Linked DNA regions of Drosophila melanogaster. The gene in region 1 interacts genetically with each later gene. Each region holds a gene or a part of one and is shown in the gene's direction. Other genes may lie near its edges. The genes, in order: MAGE, tefu, spn-A and mei-41.

Region 1 (4,073 bases):
ATCGAAATTTATTAAGTGTAAAAGGTCAAATAGCAGCTTCGTTTTGATCCATGGCCTGAGTTTAGCAATTTGACCTCTTAATTAAGCCGAACAAGTTTGTTGTCCAAGTCTTTTATTTGAGAACTAAACTCTACTCGCTCACAGCTACGTTCAGCTTAGCGCGCTTTTGTAATTGTGAGCCCCATTGACATTTAGCGGATAGCTGAGTCGTTCTGAGAGAGGAGCAAATCATAATCTAATCGAAGTGCCGGTCCCGGGCCAAAGCTGATCAGCCAGATCGACCACGAGCGGCAGCTGCTGGACAAGAATGCCGAACCGCTCCGCTGAAGGCAGTCCACTTTTAAGAACGGCACGCAACCAGACTGAGGCAACAACAGCCGGCTATTGTTTCTATATTCTCGATTCCATTCCATTGCGACCGAAACGGGGTTATCTGCTCACTGAAAGAGGTTGTAAGAACAAACTTATATACTTGTATAGGGAAATAAAACATTCGATTTGCTGAAGAATAAATTAAAATATTTTTAGCCAGAGAAGCTGGGAACATGAAAAGAAGGAATCTTTAAAAAACTACAAGATAAGAGATTTATGTTTGCGAAACTATGCCATTTATCAGCGTTTTTCTTATCAAAACGAAAGACTAATTTGAATGTTTGCAACACATTTTTTTAAAATACAACTTTAAGAATATCAAAAGATGTATTTATATTAGCGTAATTTCCATTTAATGGTGCCTTCCATTTTTCTGAATTTTAAATGTAATATTATTTATTCATTTTTCACTTTTTATTTTCATTCATATTATTTTCGCAATAAAAAACTTTTAGCTCCTTAAGATATTCGAAATGATAAATCTCAAAGAGCAAGCCACTTAAAAACAATTAATCCCGATCATATAGAGCATTAAACTCCACACATTCCTCATTCCAATATTGGCTTTCTTTTTTGTGCACACATTTTTTGTCTGCTGCCTCTTGTGATTCTGTTATTAATTTATTAATAGTTTTTGCCACCGCGGTGAGCTGCGAAACCCGTTGTCGTTACTCTATTGGCTGGTCATGGGATTTTGTTTATCATGAAAATTCTAAATGGCATGCTCATGTCATTTGCTAATTTTTAATGGCCTTTAAAAGCCAGGCTGCATAGCAAGTTTGCCGCTCACGTCGCTCAGCAAAGACCTTGACTTTCTTTTTAGTAAATGAGACATTTCTCCAACACCGTCTGGCTACAATTAGCCGGCCATAAAAAAACTTTAGGGCTGGAGTTGACAAACTCCAACGTTACAATGCGCATTTTGAAAGCAAAACTGTTTGCTTGTGTGTAGAAAGTCTAACGCTTCGCGTTGACAGTGCGTTTTGTTGACTCACTCAGCCGCCGTTTTGCGAGATTTACAATCTTGAGTAATTTCACTTGCTGGGATGCAAATTTCGGTGCTATTACAGTCACTGGTCAAGCAGAATCAATTGCAGAACGCGGCGGATATCCATTTCAGGCGGCCACAAAGGCTGTCTTTAACAATCTGAACTCCGATATTCTGCTTTTGTTCAAGCCGGAACAATGGCGAATCAATTAAAGCTTGCCGCCTGGCCAGGCAACTTTTGTCTGCCTTCCGCCTGTACATTTATCACTTATGGATCGCGCACTTTGCGCAGACGCAGGTAACTAGTTTTCACCGCAGAGATACAGCCACCGCCATCGCCACCTAAAACACACATTTCAAGGCAATAAAATATGTTTGGCCATGTAATTCTGCAGCGTCTGGAAGTGCACTTCGGCGCGTGTGTCTGCTGCGCGAAATGCATTTCCATTTCCATTTCGTTTTGTTTGACTCGGTCTCTGTTTATTTTGAGTCTCCGTGGGGAATGTTGACCGTGCATGTCATTCGCGTTTAGTTTTGAAAGTTGTTTGCTTCCTGCTGCTGCACGTCGCGTCGTTTTGGCCATTTTAATTAAAAACACATCACCTCCTGAGGCTGCTATGGCAATTTTTATGCAAAGTGCGTTACCCACTGCTTAGCTGCTCGATAAATGCTCGAATGATATTTATTTAGCAAACGTTTCGCTGCAGCGCAAATTTCATACTGATTGTTAAATGTAACAGAGGAAAAAGGCGGCAGCAAAAGGAAATCAATCAATACAAACCCACAAGAGTAGGTACTTCAGCGGCTCTTGGCCCAGTTTGTGCGTTCAAACGAGACCAATGAGTGGCCATTTGCACTTGAAAGTGCATATAATAGGCAACCAAGTGAAAAAGGATGCGAGAGAAAAGGATTGGTAAAGACCATAATAAGGGTTCGAAGATTTTATTGTCAGAGTAATGATTTTGAATTAATATAATTTGCGCGCCCATTTGGTATTTTAATACTGAAAACAGGTCTCGTTTTTTAACTCTGATCTGGCAACGCCAGGCTTGTACACTTTCAAAAGTGCGAAAAAAAACATATGTTCGCTGCATTCTTGTTGAGTTGCATTTTAAATAATCAAATAAATTTGATAAATTGGGAGCTTGTTAATCAAATTAACTCGAAATGGCTAGCACTTCTCGCGCAGCTAGGAGCCAGAATGCCATCCCCTCGCAGGAAGCGCAACAACCCGTCGATGTGGTCGACGCCAAGGTTCGCGCCATTCTAAACTACATCCTTGATCATACCGCCCAGAAGATTCCCATAAAGGACAAGGATTTGATAGCGGTGGCTGGGGACAAGAGCGAACTGAAGAAACGCCTGCCGCTGGTCACTAATCTGCTGGCCGAAACATTCGGTATAATACTAACCCCACTGGACGCGACCACCAAGACGTTCATCTGCACTGCGGAGGAGCCGGTGGCCTCCATTCACGAGCTGACGCCGGCTCAACGGCCGCAGTTCACGCTGCTGTATATTATTCTCATGTACATCTTCCTGCGCGGCAACCGCATCGAGGACTCGAAACTGTACGTTATGCTGGAGATGCTCAACATCTATCCAGACGAAGAACATGGCTACTTCGGCCCCAATCTGCGCAAACAGATCGAGGAGACGTTTGTGAAGCAACAATATCTGAAGCGGGAACGCTCACAGCTAAGTGCTTACGATGATTCCAAGACTTTCTTCCTTTGGGGACCACGTGCCAAGGCGGAGTTCACATTCGAGCAAATGGTGCAATTCGCCTCCAAGCTGCTCAATCAGCATCCCAAGGTCTTCGGCCATCACCTCTCCATGGCCCAAGAAGGAGTAAACGCGGAGTAGAATACCATTCTATGAATAATTTACTACATTTGATCTAACAAATTGAAAACCAAACAATATATATAATAATCTAAAATAGAGCCAATTTCCCATTTATCAGCAAGAAAAGAATATTACGATGATCTTTTAAAAATAGCACGTCTTTTCTATTTATCTAAAACTTAAGTTAATTTACTTAACAACGGAAGCAGAGACCCGACTCTAATACTTGGCATAGTCTGTGTCCATTATGAGCTTGCCATCCTTGTCCTTCAAACGAACGCGGCCGTTGGAGTAGCGCGTCTCTTGGCTGCCATCCGGATACACTAGCTTCACAGTGCCGTCCGGATACTCCCTTCGCTTGTTTAGTTTGGTGTGAATCTCCTTTTGGCCATTGGGCAGATTGAGAATCTTGTCACCATTCCGGAGCTGCACTAGATGGGTTCCATCCGCATAACGCCACTCCTCCAGTTTCTCCGTATCGCTGGGATCCACAATCTTAATGCTGTTGTTGGGAAAGTGAATCTCAACAGTGCCATCCTTGCGGCGATGTTCCGTCTGCCCGTTGGGAAACTCGAGTATTTCCAAGCCATCTAGGTAGGAGGTGTGCCAAGTGTTGGTCTCAGCGTAGTAATACTTCACTGTGCCTTCCCTGATGTTAGTTTCCTTGATATCCTTGTTGAAATAGAGCATGCGCAAGTTCATGCCATCGGCGCTTATCTTTTTTAGATTGCCGTTTGGGTACCAAATGTCCTTGCTCCCATCCGCATTCGTAATCTCCCGCTTAAAGTCACTGCTGGAGTTGGCAGCCGGTGGGGGGGTAGCAGCTTTCGGAGCGGTCACGGGCGGCTGAACTTCCTCCGATTCC
Region 2 (5,511 bases), 8.1 Mb from region 1:
ATGAGAATTATAAATGGCGACCGAGCAGCTGCCACCTTTTTCTGCAAAGTGCGCAAAAAAGAGAAGAAACCGCATGGACAAAGGCGAAAATTCTGGAATGCTAAAAACGCAAACACACGCGCCCTCACAAGCACACACACACATGCATATACTTAAATATATGTAAACCACGCTGCTGAAGCCAGGTCATTTTGGAGGGTGATTCGTATGTGCGAGCGAGGGAGACAACCACTGTGTCCGGGACGGCTTTGCGTGTGTTGGTTTTACCCGCTCACAAACACACGTGCCCGCACTTTGAATGCCGGTTGGCAACGTGTTTTTTTTTAGCTAAGTATATTTAATAAAAGGCCGCATAATGTATAAATTTATGAATGTTAGTTCTATTTATAAACAATGTTTATATGCCTTGACTGTATGTAAGGGAATCCAACATGTTTCTATAGCAGTATAGCATTAAAATTAAATGATCAGACATGCACGCATTTTTGTGTGGTTGTGTGGGGGGGGGGGAAGCCTCACATTTTTCCCAAGCTGGAATATTCCAGCAAAAGAGCAATGGCACTCAAAATAAATTACCAATTACGATGAGTAACTTGGACATTGATTTATTGGAAACAGAAACAATAAAAATCACAAGCAATGTCAAGACCCCGCAACGGATGACGCAAGTTTTCTCTCACACATACTCACTCAACCGAAAGTAGACTGTGACTGCAGTGAGTGGGAAGCGGCACGTTTTCCAGTGGAATATTCCAGATAATCACAATCAAGCATTAGGCATCAATATGCAATTAGTCAGAACTTCCAAAGTTTCTAGAATCTTAATTTGCCTAATTAATAGGCGCTCTATGATGCACCTTTGCAATTATGTATGTAAGTGTGCATCGAAGCGTTACTCACTGGGGTCGAAAGTTCGAGAAACCTTGCCTTCTTTGAGAGTATTGATTAAATAGTAAAGGGGCTACAAAAAACACGTGGTTTGATTTCAAATTATTTTCCGGCAAACTTAATCGAGGTGGTCGCACTTTTTTTAACAACGAAATAAATACTAAAATGTAAATAAACGCTTACCTTGTGTGTTGTTTCTTAGAAAGTACTAAAATATAACCGTTTAATTGCTACTTCACTTTTAATCTGCCGCACCTTCGATCAAACTGGCTGGCGTTTTTTTCTGAATTACACCCGTACAAAATTTGCGAATGCCTTTTATATACAAGCAAAAGTGTTACCAAAGCCATCAACAATTTTAGTACTAAATTCCCAGGGGTGTAACCGCAAAATTCTTGGCCACCCTAATAAGCGCTTCACACAGAAGTCCAGAAATGTTGACGCAGAACGTTCACACCGAAACTGTAAAGTCGTAGAAATTGGCTAATATGTAGTAGAAGCGCTGAACGTAGCTTGTTACTTTAAAAACCACATTTCCTATTCCTTTCTTAATGAATATAATTCATAATATAGGAATAATTAATGAAGGAACAGTGGAATATGGAACATGGGATTTTTTTATTTATAAATCTTTCGTTATATAAGGTTATTCTAGTTCTCCATCGGCACTTATTTGACGCACACGGCTGCCCAGCCATTTAACAACAGTGCTGTTCTTATTGATCGTGGTATTTTTTGGCGCTCTGGCAGAGGTCACTCTAAGTACATTTTGAGAGATCATTTTATGTTTAGTTTAATAATTAATACAACATTACAACAGGTTATGCCGGGCAGCCAGGATGAGTGCACTTCTAAACGAAATCCAGCGGATACTCGGGGACCTTCAGTCGGGGAAGGCAGCCAGCCGAAACAAGGGCATCCAACAGCTGGATGAAAAGCTCTCAAGTTGCCGAGAGGATCTGGATAAGTTGTTTCTTAGCAAAACTTCGGATATATCCTGGACCACAATCTTTGAAGCGTCGAAGGAGGCTCTCTTTAAGGTTCCTAGCCATTATCGTTAAACAATCAGTTCCATTTTAATTGTTAACCTAATGATAGCAAGCTGGAAATCTGGAGGATGTCAACGAGAAAGTATTCAAAACGCTGGCGGGAAAAAACTACTTGTACGATAATGTCCTCGAGAAGATCACACAATTCAACTTGGAAGGTAACTCCTAAACACTTAAACACGTTATTAAAGCTAACCTGTGATTTCCAGCGGGGTCGCAGACCTCCGGAAATGGGCATTTCCTGGCCAAAACAAGCATATTTAGTGCATTCGAGGATGGCATCAAGATGCGAGTGGTAGTCAAGTATTTTGGCGACCGCATTCTGAGCCTGCTGGAAAAGGGCATTTACTCATCGGTCAGCTATGTGCGCGACCTTAAAATTAACGAATACAGTAGTAAGTTACTTTCTGGCCCAAAAGAGACTCTTTTTTTTAATTTGATGATGTATTACAGGGATTCTCTCCTATCTTTTTGAACTGAATGTCGATATGGACGAGGTCTTGCGAACCAGAATACTGAAATGCATCACAAGAACCGTCAGTTTGGCCAAGGACCGGGTTCAGCTGCACGTGGATCTAGTGGAATATCTGCCGGAGCTCAGCAGCTTTGCGCTCTCCGCTTTTGGAGCCAGAAAAACTGAGATTGTTCGCGTCTACTTAATATTTGCATCAGAGGTAGGACTCTTATTATATCTTTAGATAATGTTAAAAACTTTGCAACAATCTTTCAGCTTGCTGTCAACTACAATCACCAATTGAACGTGCACATGCAGGAGATTCTACCTAAACTATGCGAGTATCATGACGAGGATGCGTTCCGGGACGACACCAGAAATCTGTTCTTTCAGTGCGTTTCAAAGTCGCTCCATTCAATGTATCTCAAAATGGATATGTGTGACTTTAATACACTCGGTGTGCCTGTTCATGAAAAGTGGCCGCAAACTTTACTGCGGCTGAAAACTATTGTCAATGTGGAGATCCGAAAGAATTCCTGGGCTCGCTGCAAGAACGCACTACTGAGCAATAATAAATTTTCTGACCCCTTCATCAAGATGTCTGCCCTGGCTATGTATATAGTACGTCGCATAAGCTAGTAATATTTAATATATTTAATTTTAATTATATTATTATTTGCAGGTGCTTTGGCACTTGGAGACGAAAAAGGCTGATGAAAATGGGGAAGGCGATGCGCCGAAAAAGATCCCGAAGCCTGCAGATAAAATGGAAACTATATTTAGTCTGATCGACAAAAAGGAAAACACCTTTAACGACGTCTGGCTTGCGATATTCACTGAGATACTTCAGCTGAGTAGCGTGATCCTAAATGTGGCCAACTACCAAATGGCGCTAACCACCGTGGCGGAAATAATGCAAATGTACGGCAATGCGAAAAATCTCCGGAACCTTCGGTTATGCCTGGCTCATCTTTTGACTAAAGAACAGGAGCTTTTGCACTCTAAATCTATTCGGGAGGATTTTCTGGGTGAGCTTTGGAGTCAAATGGCAAACCAGCTCATATCAGAGACAACAACAAACAGTGAGGAGATCAAGGAGAAGCAATTGGTGCTGCAGATGCTGATCAGACACAATAAACTAAATCAAAAGTTGTCCAGCACGCTGCTTAACAATATTATCTCGAATGAAATGCTAAAGCGCAACGAATGCTTAGCGACGATTCGAGAGATCTTCATCCATGCTGATAAATGTGGTCAAGATAAGGCGTCCGCTGACTTAGAACCCATCATAGCTTGGGCATACGGAAGTGCGGATAGATTCATCGCCGCTCAGATGATACACAATATAGACAGTATTGATGCCCAGTTGCAGGCGGATACTTTTGCAATCAGCATTATAAATTTTTTGGATGTCCAGCAATTGCGACAGATCTCTCAATCAGAACACATTGTTCCTTCCACCGAACGCAATCTTTTGGCCTACAAGTACAACGAACAGCTTATTTGCTTTGACAAGGACTACGCCACTCCTTTTGAGTCAATCACTCACATTCAGAGCGAAACAAAGAATTGTTTGATTCAATCCAATTATGATTGCCTAATGCGAGGCCTTAACTTTGAGATCGCGAAGGAGAACAAACCGGCGGCAATAATAAAAAACCTGAATAGTCTATTAAAGTTGATCTGCACAATGGAAAGGCTTTTGCATTACAAGGTTTTCGATGCAGATACCTATACTGGCTGTCCACTTATAAAAAGAATTGGACTATATCTCAGCCACATTGAGGTGGGTGCCAAATGAATAATCTTTCAAAAACTCGTTTTCTAATACCCATTTCAGTTCCAGCTCAAGGCGAACGGAGCTGAGATTTTAGATAAGAGCGATTTACCAGAGATTTTACGTCTGGAAATCTATGTACTTGATGTATTCAGGACGAATTTAGTCTTACTCGATTATTTGGAAAGGCAACCCATTGAAATGTTGGTGGAATTTGTTGGCGCTGCTCTCAAGTTGCATTGTAATGTAGTTTTCAATTAACGTATCGCTTTAATAATTGAAGAGTGGAATATTTTAGCCATGCAGAGGGAGCGATCTGTAGATGCAGATCATGGAACAATAACGCGTCTGTGCCTTAATATTTTGGCTGGTCTTTGTGCGTACAATTCGCACCGGGATGAAGCATTCGAGCACATAGTAAAGGTAACGATGCGTTGGCATCCACAGGATGTGCTTATTGTGACCAAGGTAGGAGTTATATCGTAACCAAAACAGAAATAATTTTGAAATCTCTTTAAGATGTTATGCAGCTGCCAAACGATTTCTGAAGCATCCAGCTCTTGGTTAGTGAGCAAATTGAAGACGCTTTTCCAGCAGCATCATCAGGATGCGGAATTGATGGACAAAGTGGTTCAACATATGCCCAGTGAGCTTATATATAATAGAACAATAAACACAGTGCAATCAATTCATTTCATTGCAGCCATTTTTTACTTCGTAAGGCACAAAGAAAATCATTTGGACGACATGCTTATGGCCCTTAATTCCCTTTTAAGGATTGCCATTAAGAAGTCGTACACATCGAATTTAACAGCGAAAATTGTACGCTGCGTGGGATTGATTGCTCAGCGTTGTCCGGACATTTACCTTCTAGAGAACTTTGCTGTGATATGCAAGTCCACTGCGAAATTCATCACCATGCCCACGTTAGAAGTGCGCTTTGCCACACTCTTCACATTCACCATCCTGCTGGAATCGAATTGCGTCACTAGCGATGCCATTGGTCATTCTCGGACGCACTGGGACTTCTGCCAGGAGCTGTACGAGAGCATTGAGTTTAAGAAACTGACGGTAAGCATTCGGAAGTCTGGATGCCTAGCTATACTTTAATGGCTATTTCTTATTTAGTACAACAACGAGGATGCCATTCAAAACAGCAATGCGTTAATCGTACAAATGTTAATTGCAATATTCTTGCGCAGCTCATTCCACCAAGAGATAGCACTGAAGGAGCTGCTGCATCATTGTGCCTTGCGAAGGCTAACTGAAAGTGAGTAAGCACCGTAGTAGCAGTTTCAGTTACAAGATCCATGATCCAATTCCAGGGGAGTTTATTTCCCTGC
Region 3 (4,365 bases), about 23 Mb from region 1:
TGATAAATGTTTCCCAGTCACGATCGATAGTGTGGGGATGGATTGAAGTTAATGACAAGTTTTATTTATTTTGTACGAAGTCACACCTAGCTCTTATCTTATGTACTCCCACCTAAGCCTTGGGCACCACTGAACTGCTATTGGGGGACACCAGCTCATCGCCGCCTCCGTTGTTGCCCACATCCGCCAGCGGATCCGCGTTCTGGCCACCAACTGAACCGGCATCCGTGTCCAAGGCCTCGCTCAAGCCATCATCGTCGTCGTCATCACCGCCAGATTTGTTGTACACGGTGGGGTACTTCTGGAAACAGTCGCGCATCTTGGTGAAGGCATCGTAGCAGTCCGATCCCTTGGGATCGGCGGTGCTGTTCTGGAAGCAGGAAAATGCCTCACGGAAATCGACGCCACAGGGACCGGTGGCCATGCCGCCGAGGCAGGGACAACTCCAGTTGATCTTGCCGTCCTTGGTGATCACGCCCTCCGGCTTTTCCGGCGGCGGCAGCTCGATGGTGCTGGGCGTGGCATGGTCCTCCTTGGTCACAAAAATCACCTTGTCCTTGCCGTACTCCTTGCAGTAAGAGAATGACATCCTGATGCGGTAATGCTAGTTAAATGCTACAAACTCCTCGGGGGATTCCTCAAAATCCAAGGGCTTTCGGGATGTGCTGAGCACCTGAAAATGGCAGGGCACCTCCTGGTAGTATCCTATTAGGGCTATAGCTACGCGAACGCGATCCAGGACGTTCTCGGGCACCCGGAGAATGGAGCGTTTTTGGCTGGAACTAAATTTCACAATTTCCAGTATGGTCTGGCCACCTATTTCGCCAAAAATACTAGCCAAGGAGCTATGGATGCAGCCACAGAAGAATACGGGCGTCAGAGTCACGGAGTCTGGATCACGGAGTTTTCTGGCGATTAAAAACGTGAATTATCTTAATTATATTTGCATGATGCACGTGCGCACGTGGGAAATACGGGGCTTTAAGGAGCGGGGCTGAGTGCCCGGAACTCACATCTTCACGTCCAGATATTGGTAACCACTCATGCTTTGGGTGCAAGTGCCAGTGCCCCTCTTTTTTTGGCGGAATCTTCGGGAAAAGTCGTCCAAAAGTTGCCGGTCAGTGTGTTTTTTTTATGTAATTACTCCCCTTTTTTGCTGTTTCTTTCTGCTTCTCAAACAGCTGTGCGCCGCCAGAGATGCCAGCTCGGCTCACAACGGACATGAGTAGTTATAAAATAGCTAAAATTATAGCCATTTATTAAAACATTTAAATTGTTATTGGAACTACTTAAATGCAATTTTATTAAAATGGTTACAAGTTTATGGGGTTTTTCCGCTTTTTAATCTCATTTAGTAGCCATCACAGAAATCATTTCAGTTCGTTGTGAATGACAAAAAAATCAGATCACAGTAAAATCAGTTAGGATTCAAATTCAAATTCTTCATGACGGTTATAATGTATATTACACTGAGTATTACAATTCGCTAGTCCTAATCATCGGACACAACCGCGACAGTCTTTTCAATGCTCTTCTCAAAGTCCAGCGATGATTTGGATGTTTCCAAGATCTCAAAATGACAGGGTATCTGCTGGTAGTGACCGATGAGCTCAATGGATATGCGGGTCATGTCGTGCAGTTGCTCTGGCACTCGAAAGATAACACGATGTTGCTGGGCGCAGAACTTCACGATCTCCAGTGTGGGTTTCTCCTCGCAGAAGAAACTGTCCAGGGCGTCAAGAACGCAGCTTCGAAACAGAGATGGGGTCAAAGCAACTGCAGTCGGATCCCGAAGTTTACTATTAAATAAATGAATATATTTACTGAATTTAATAACAACCAAGTTTATATTAATGACCGCAGAACATCATTCTACTCACAGTTTGATGTCGAAATAGTAATAGTTCGCCATGGTGATCTTGCGCGTTCCTTTTAAGCGGGATCCTCTGTAGTGATAGAGTTTTGTGCGTTCGGGGCGATTGGCAAACTGATTTTGCAGTGAATTGCGCGCCGCGCAGTCTTTGTCGAAATTCTCTCACGCAAGACGTGCAATTTAAATAACGAAACTCGAAACAACAAATAGTCAAATTTAACTTCGAAACTGTCAAATGGAGAAGCTAACGAATGTTCAGGCACAGCAGGAAGAGGAGGAGGAAGAAGGTCCACTCAGCGTGACTAAGTTAATAGTGAGTAGGCTGCGATCTCGACCAGGATTATTATGGGCATTCCCTACGATATCCTCCTCCTAGGGCGGCAGCATCACGGCCAAGGACATCAAGCTGCTCCAGCAGGCCAGTCTGCACACCGTGGAGTCGGTGGCCAATGCCACCAAGAAGCAACTGATGGCCATTCCCGGCTTGGGCGGCGGCAAGGTGGAGCAGATCATCACGGAGGCTAACAAACTGGTGCCTCTGGGCTTCCTTAGTGCTCGCACCTTCTATCAAATGCGTGCCGATGTCGTGCAGCTGAGCACGGGCTCCAAGGAGCTGGATAAACTGCTGGGCGGCGGCATTGAGACGGGATCCATTACCGAGATCTTTGGCGAGTTCCGCTGCGGAAAGACCCAATTGTGCCACACTCTGGCAGTAACCTGCCAGCTGCCCATCAGCCAGAAGGGCGGCGAGGGCAAGTGCATGTACATCGACACGGAGAACACCTTCCGTCCGGAGCGTTTGGCTGCCATCGCGCAAAGGTACAAACTGAATGAATCCGAGGTGCTGGACAATGTGGCCTTCACCCGTGCCCACAACTCAGATCAGCAGACCAAGCTCATCCAGATGGCGGCGGGCATGCTCTTTGAGTCCAGATACGCTTTGCTGATTGTGGACAGTGCCATGGCGCTCTACAGATCCGATTATATTGGTCGCGGGGAGCTGGCCGCCAGGCAAAACCATTTGGGCTTATTTCTGCGCATGCTTCAACGCCTGGCCGATGAGTTCGGAGTGGCTGTGGTAATTACTAACCAGGTTACTGCCTCGCTGGACGGCGCACCCGGCATGTTTGATGCCAAGAAGCCCATTGGCGGGCACATCATGGCCCACTCCTCAACCACGCGGCTGTATCTGCGCAAGGGTAAAGGCGAAACCCGCATCTGCAAGATCTACGACTCGCCCTGTTTGCCGGAATCGGAGGCCATGTTCGCCATTCTGCCGGATGGAATAGGAGACGCCAGGGAGAGCTAATTGTGCTCACTTATAGGTTAATTAATGCTAGGAATAGAGCTCCCTAACTTTCTAATGATTACTTATCCCTAGACTAAGAATTAAACTTCGTAGATTGTTTTTTTTTTTGTTTTAATGTTTACTTAGAATGTTTAGGATAACGACGAAATAAAACAGCCGTTGCGAATTGTATGTACCATCTATATTTAATTCAATATTATTCAAATCATCTACAAACTTAGAAAATATTTAGGGGTTTCGAAGCAAAAACCTTTTTTTTAGTCTGGTAATAAGCGGATGCAGCAGGAAAAGCCCCATCAGCGCAGCGTAACACGACATGCACCTGGCAGGCAAACAGAATTAAGGAATTTAGCTGAATTTTTAACCTAGAATTAAGCATAGCCCACTTGGCTCATCAAAACTTTGTCATCCAAAGCACGGTCTTTAAGTTGCCTGGTTTGTAACGCTTACGAGTAACTGCAAGAAAGAGGATTCTTGAAGATGTGTTTCAACTCAGCGGTTTGCGGTTTCCCATCCTACCTTATCATGTAATTGGTCCAGCAGAACTGGTCCTCGATCATTTACTGTGGAGCCGATCCGGCTGAAGCGGCGGCCTCCTTGGCCAAAACCAGGCTATTATATCCGCGCTCGTTCATCCCGACGCGAAGGTTTTCGTTGATATTTTTCGTATAGGTCTTGTAGATTTTTACCTTTTCGCAGAAGTCGATCCAAAAGTTGTCCTCGCTCTCGGGCTCCGGATTGAAGAGACTCTTGAAGCCATCGTATATGCCAGAGGAGACCTTGCGTATGGTCTGCGCCCTCTCCTTGAACTCCACCTCGTCGGACAGGTCCATTTTCCAGAGCTCCAGATTGCCCACATACCGGCGAAGTCGGCGCATTATGTCCACGCACTCCGGATTGCGCAGCAGCATCAACTTGGTGAACTCCACCTCCTTGAACTGCTCGAGGATCTCCAGGCATTTGCCCACATTGGCGCGCCGCAGGCCCAAACATTCGCGCAGCTGCTGGGAAAGTTGGATGAAGTCTCGCTCCATGAAGAGGGCATCCTCGTGCTCAATGAGCTCCTCGATGAATCGCAAAGCCTCCTGCTTGGGTATTTCGCTGCGTGTTGGCTCCACCACGATCCTATCGGGCATGGACTCCGGATTGATTTGGCCGCTCTCTAGTTTCAGTTTGAGCTCCA
Region 4 (5,496 bases), on another chromosome or scaffold:
CGAGAATCTCCAGCTCATCCTGCTTGGACTCAAATAAGCGGATGAGCAGGAAGAGGATCTGCTGCTGCAAGGTGGGATGAACGGCGGCCACTTCATCCAGTACCGCCAAGTGCGTGGGACAGCTGTCTGTGGAGAGCTTGAAATATGAAGGCTCCATAACAACGTTTTCGATCCACCGAATGACACCAACTCCCACCACAGGATATCTACGATTAAAAGAGATCTTTACGTTAAGGGAAACCAATAATTTTTTGATATACATCGGTCGCCTTACTTGATGCAATTATACAGCGTTTGCAACTCGGCGATTAGCTCGGTGGATCCCTGGTCCACATTACAAATGGTGTGTGCCTTTTCGATAGCCTGAATGGTGCTCTTTAGCTCCTCCTTGTTTAGCATGCGCTCAGTCATTGGTCGCTTTTTGGCCGGCTGGTCGATGACCGCGGACGCGTAGGCTAGCAGAAACATATACTTCGGTTTGTGCTCGGGATTGATTTTAACGCCGGAACGAAAGAGCGCGTCTACCAGTAGCTCCAGAAACTGGGGGTTTCGTATCAAGTCGATGGGCGGTGGATCGGAACCGGAGTAGTTGCGAAACAGCACGGTGATATCGGCGGGATTCAGTGTATTGCGGGTGAGCATGGAAGTTAGGGCTTGACATGCTTGCGGATAGACTGCCGAACCATTCAGGGCCATTGTAATAGGCGTTACATTTTGATTGCTAAACAATGAAGCAAAAGAAAGGATTTATGTTATGACTAACTATGTGGAATCGTCAGTTATTTTCATACTTCTGCAGGGCGTATTTAATAATTTCCTGAGAGAGCCGCTTCATGTTGAACCCACCCTTCTGCTCCTGGCTGAGGACCTGGATGAGCACCTGGGAGTATACGTAAGTGTGCTGGCCATGGCAGACCATTCGTGCGCACTCCTGAATGGCACCGTGCACATCATCCGGATTGTTTAGAAATTTGACGATCGAGGTCTTTAGAACCCGCGAGAAAACCTCAATCTGCTGTGCCGCTGTCGAAATGGAAGTGATCTCGCTCTGGAAGCCCGCGTCCGAGATCAACTTGATTGTAAAGTTCAGCATTAGACAATCGGGATATTCTTCGGCCAGTCGGTAGATTAGCGAGCGCCACGTATAGTGGTCGATCATCTCGGTTAGCCAGTCGGGCGTCTCACCCTCCTCCGTGAATATGGTGTCCGCCTTCTTGGGATCGAAGGACTTAAGAATCATTTCCTTGAGATGATTCTCCACCATGGCCTGGACTTCGGTAACCTTGACGCCCGCCAGGATGAGCCATTCCGCAAGCAGGTTGGCCATCTGGGCCACCGCCTTGTAGTTCTCGGATAGCATCGATATAACCTCCTCCGGAGATCCGCCCGACTGAAAGTAGCGCTTCAGCTGCGTAAATATCCCCGGCTCCATGATGTAGTCCGGTGTGAGGAACTTCTCCAGGCATTCCTGTATCGTCTTCTGCGGATTGTCCTCAAGCGTTTCCTTCGATTGGGATGGGATAACATGATGTTTAGTTGTTATTTTTTATGGTTTATCTAGTAGCGTCATCAAATTGCCGGGATTGCCTGCCACGCCGTACACGCTCTATACTCAATTACCTCCGGATTGGTTTGTCCTTTGGCGCGGCCCTGCCAACCAGAGTCGTCGTATTCCACTTCCATTTTTTCTCAAAAACTTATTTACAATAACATAAAAATATTTTTCTTATTTTGATTAACTATGCATTTTTAGTGTGACTGTAAATTGTTAACCACGACGCGCACACCTACGCGGGTTATGCGCCGTTTACACTTAGCAAACTCTTCTGTTAATTTCATATTATGCAATGTAAATCTTAAATTTGAGGAGAAAAAGAAAATTGTCAATAAGTGTAAAACGCGGTAATGTAAACATATATTAACTAATTTTTTTTTAAATTAATATATGTAAAATCGCAGTTGGAACGTGGCTGTTATTCAAGAAAAAGAAGAAGAAGCTGCCAAACATATCGATAGCCACAAGTGCGGCGAATGCCGGCTTTCGTAAACAAAGGTCGCGTTTTTGCGAGTTTTAAATAAACTTGGCAAAATGTCGACACAACGGAAGGATATGTGGAAGTTGCTTTACAACCACGTAAACCGGAACGTAAGCAACTTTTCCGGCGTGTACAGCGTTATAGAAGACATATTGTGCCAGGAGCCGAGTCTGATAAGCTGTTCGTTGGTGCGGGAGCTGCACAACAAATTCCAGGACACATTCCTACTCTGGCTGCTCAACAAGCTGGCCAAGTGCCTTAGTGAATCTCCAGATAGCAGGTAAGATGAGCCACAAGCATTGGACTCCAAACTTATGACACACCGTTTTTCTGCTGCAGCGAGTGCATCAATCTTCAAAGGAAAATACTGAGCTCCTGCTGTTCCAATCATCCTAAGCTTTTTGAACGCCTTGTACTGGCCTATGTGGAAGCCATTGAGGAGACGCACCTTCAGCTAAGTTCCCTGGACCTCGGCCAATTGAGTAATGAGCGAAAACCCGCCATAACTGTAAGAATATTCCGATGCGATGTGGAATGCCTGCAGGAGTTCGATCCGCACTGCGCTATCGAGGACATCAAGGTGCCCCTTGAGCAAGCCGACATGTATGCCAAGAGCCTGCTGGAGGTCCTCCAGCATGCCCATCACATTGGATACGCCACGCACGGCGACATCTTCTCGGGCAGCCTTCATCAGGCTCTGCTAATCCTCAAGGAGTGCGACATGGACACAAAACTGGCCAGCTTGAATTACTGTCACAATGTCCTACGATCACAGTCGGCCAGCAGCTGGATAACAAATCCGGACGTTGGACATTATGCGCAATTAACGTTGGAGGCGACGGCAATCATGTGGTCGGCAGTAGCCAAGTGGCTGGACATGGGATGTATGACGCGCCAGGAGCTAAAACGGCTCAATATAACAACAAAGCTACTGCTAGAAGTTCTGCATATGCGTGCACGTCCAGCCCACCATCTTGGCTACCTGCTTTTGAACGAGATCCTTAGTTTGCCGACAGCCATTGAATTGGACGATGGACTGCTGGAGACCCTAAGTTCCTATATTCAAGGCCAGCTAGAGCATTCGGTTGTACCATTGGAGCAACTGGTGCACTTGCAGCAGCTTATGTTAAGCCATTGGCACTGCCACCCCACACATTTGGTGCCCATATTGGCGCTAATGGGCTTGAAACAGACTGAGATGCGCTCAGGAGTGGTCCAAGTGCTTACCCAAAGTCTCGTTGAAATCTTGAAGAAGGAAGAAGTATTGTCGAAGGATTGGCAGAAACTGATTGCTATTTTACGAGGCTTCAAGCAGCTGGAGAAACTAATTCTGTCACAGAGTCAGCATAAAATAGCTGAGCACGAAGGTCACATCGATTCCTCAGTTCTGGCCATGTTACCGCTGCAGTGTGAAATCATAAAGGTTGCGGATACCAATTGGAATAACCTTTCAATGCAGCTGGTTGAGCTGGAATCAAAGTGTTCCGCAGACCGAAGACACATACACTTGGAAATCTGCTCCCTTTTGATGCAAATCACCTTCATCCGGCACTTTTTAAAGACTCAAACGCAACACCAGCTGCTGGCCATTCTTCAGCGACATTTGAAGCTGTCCTACCTTTGCGCCATTCGCTTGGAGACACCTTCTAGTGTTCATACCCAAATGCAAAGCTTCTATGCCCAGCAGTACATGAGGCTATTTCAATCCGAGGAGACACAGGAGATATTCTGTAGCAACCTTCCGCAGTTGTACATATCGGGTTTCATAAAGCCGGAGCAACTGATGAAAGCTCTGCCCACCATTAACAATCGTAGTGGCCGCGCTCAAGTTATACGCCTATTGCTCTGCTCCCAGCCAGGTAAATTGAGTGTCTTTAAAGTCAAAGATCGCATTGAGCTATACTGCCCGAAATGCAGGCCACTGCCAAAGAAACTGCCAGGTATTTACCTCGGAAAATGCAAGCAACAGCTGCCATGTCCAGACTTTTCAAGCACCAACCTCGAAATGATAGCAAATGATTTATTGTTTTATCCCGATTTTGAATGTATTGCCCAGCATCTGGACCTTCTGTGCTTTGAACCCAATGTGATTCTTGGCCTGCTAAGAGAAACGGAGGCACTGCAAAAGGTTAGCGTTAAGGTTATCGGCCAGCTGGTCTCTGCGATGCGTGTGCGTTCGCCAGAATTCTTGGAGCAATTAGCCAATCTTGTTCTAGCTGCTATAAAAGCAATGCTAGCAAAGCCACTGACAGAGCAAAATGTGCTGCAGCAAAGAAGTATGCTCAACGTACTGACCGCCATTGCGCACATGGAGGATAATGAAATCTGGCTCTTTCACTGGTTCAAAATGACATTCTTCTTTCTGGTGCACACTCGCTCACTGGTGGCGCAAGAAGCTGTGCTGGCGGCCACCGAGATGTGTGCCAGCCAGGGTCTGCAGACGATTCATCTGTGGAACTGGTACAAGCGAGATGCTCTCGACCTCACCGTTCGCCTGGCTTTGAACGTTTATCTTTTGGATGGCGTACGCTTCACCCGATCCCTCCGAGCGGTGCGTAAATAGACGAACTTTTCTTCACTTCCCAAAATTTGACCGGTCTGTTTGCAGCTTACGAAAATGTTGGGATTCACGTGCGTTCAGGAGTTCACCTGCAAGTATCATCGCCTTCTGACTGCCATGGTCCTGCCGCATTGCATCGTGAATCCGCTTTGCAAGGGAGTTTTGGTATTGATAGCCAAACAAATGCAGAAACACATTGGCACCTTGTTCTCCATCTCGTTCCTGCGGATCTACACACACGTCTTCCTGACCGAGGAACCGGAGTTGGCCAATAGTTGCATCGAGCTGGTGGTCAGTTGCACCCAGTCCAGCCTGCAACAGCTAATGAATGCGGATGTCAAGGTGGGCAGAAGTTAATTTATATTTTATTATTTTATCTTTTATTTTATTTTATTTGATTTGGTTATCACTTGTAGCAAACGGTGGCCGAGTTGCTTATATATTTCAACCGAAACCCCACATTCGTGATGCGATCCTTTCAAAGCCTCTTGCAGTTATCAATCGGTTCCTTGGAGGAGTTGTCAAGTCAAACGGCGAATGCAGAGTTTGCGAATTTCATTGCTGAGCGTTTCCTCGGTGTGATCACCTACTTCGAGAGCTGCCTAAGTGAACCGTCTTTTGAGAAGCCATTGAAGGAGGAGACTTTGTACAGTTTGGGCCAGATTATGCGATTTGTGGGCTCCCAGCATGTCACCCAGTTTCGCTTCAAAATCATTGCCATGCTGAGTTTCGTTCACACATTGCAGGAGCCTCGTCTCCAGCGAATTTGCCTAAAGATTTGGCACATATTTCTGCATGTTGTAAATGTGCAGGAGCTGGGACCCTCTCTGGGAAGAATCGTGGCCACCTTGCAGCCTCTGCTGGCGGACAACGAGAGCGTTAAGCAGGTCAATGATCTGT

The links.
Region 2: of MAGE (region 1) and tefu, changing one enhances a phenotype caused by changing the other (phenotypic enhancement), as found in Drosophila melanogaster (one study listed by BioGRID).
Region 3: of MAGE (region 1) and spn-A, changing one suppresses a phenotype caused by changing the other (phenotypic suppression), as found in Drosophila melanogaster (one study listed by BioGRID).
Region 4: of MAGE (region 1) and mei-41, changing one enhances a phenotype caused by changing the other (phenotypic enhancement), as found in Drosophila melanogaster (one study listed by BioGRID).

The regions. Positions count from the first base shown.
Region 1 is NT_033777.3:7,153,519-7,157,591, reverse strand, and holds MAGE (MAGE), read left to right. Parts: upstream 1-2,411; 5' UTR 2,412-2,527; coding exon 2,528-3,226; 3' UTR 3,227-3,354; downstream 3,355-4,073. Other genes in the region: Sas-4 (spindle assembly abnormal 4), read right to left, coding at 3,428-4,073.
Region 2 is NT_033777.3:15,238,360-15,243,870, reverse strand, and holds the start of tefu (telomere fusion), read left to right. Parts: upstream 1-1,634; 5' UTR 1,635-1,650; intron 1,651-1,708; 5' UTR 1,709-1,727; coding exon 1,728-1,928; intron 1,929-1,986; coding exon 1,987-2,095; intron 2,096-2,146; coding exon 2,147-2,332; intron 2,333-2,390; coding exon 2,391-2,611; intron 2,612-2,667; coding exon 2,668-3,012; intron 3,013-3,073; coding exon 3,074-4,177; intron 4,178-4,231; coding exon 4,232-4,409; intron 4,410-4,466; coding exon 4,467-4,636; intron 4,637-4,687; coding exon 4,688-4,814; intron 4,815-4,871; coding exon 4,872-5,239; intron 5,240-5,296; coding exon 5,297-5,438; intron 5,439-5,493; coding exon 5,494-5,511. UniProt on the Drosophila melanogaster protein: Serine/threonine-protein kinase which recognizes the substrate consensus sequence [ST]-Q. Required to suppress spontaneous apoptosis of proliferating cells during development, and for their proper differentiation. Required for female fertility.
Region 3 is NT_033777.3:30,053,683-30,058,047, reverse strand, and holds spn-A (spindle A), read left to right. Parts: upstream 1-2,010; 5' UTR 2,011-2,108; coding exon 2,109-2,186; exon of another isoform or gene 2,187-2,249; coding exon 2,250-3,182; 3' UTR 3,183-3,352; downstream 3,353-4,365. Other genes in the region: CG7950 (uncharacterized protein), read right to left, coding at 113-589; Rpp14a (ribonuclease P/MRP subunit p14 a), read right to left, coding at 605-908, 1,014-1,045; Rpp14b (ribonuclease P/MRP subunit p14 b), read right to left, coding at 1,493-1,799, 1,881-1,912; Jasper (JIL-1 anchoring and stabilizing protein), read right to left, coding at 3,743-4,365. UniProt on the Drosophila melanogaster protein: Plays an important role in homologous strand exchange, a key step in DNA repair through homologous recombination (HR). Binds to single and double-stranded DNA and exhibits DNA-dependent ATPase activity. Underwinds duplex DNA.
Region 4 is NC_004354.4:16,389,672-16,395,167, forward strand, and holds the start of mei-41 (meiotic 41), read left to right. Parts: upstream 1-2,026; 5' UTR 2,027-2,089; coding exon 2,090-2,316; intron 2,317-2,375; coding exon 2,376-4,587; intron 4,588-4,644; coding exon 4,645-4,938; intron 4,939-5,012; coding exon 5,013-5,496. Other genes in the region: TH1, read right to left, coding at 1-206, 275-721, 792-1,504, 1,621-1,683. UniProt on the Drosophila melanogaster protein: Serine/threonine protein kinase which activates checkpoint signaling upon genotoxic stresses such as ionizing radiation (IR), ultraviolet light (UV), or DNA replication stalling, thereby acting as a DNA damage sensor.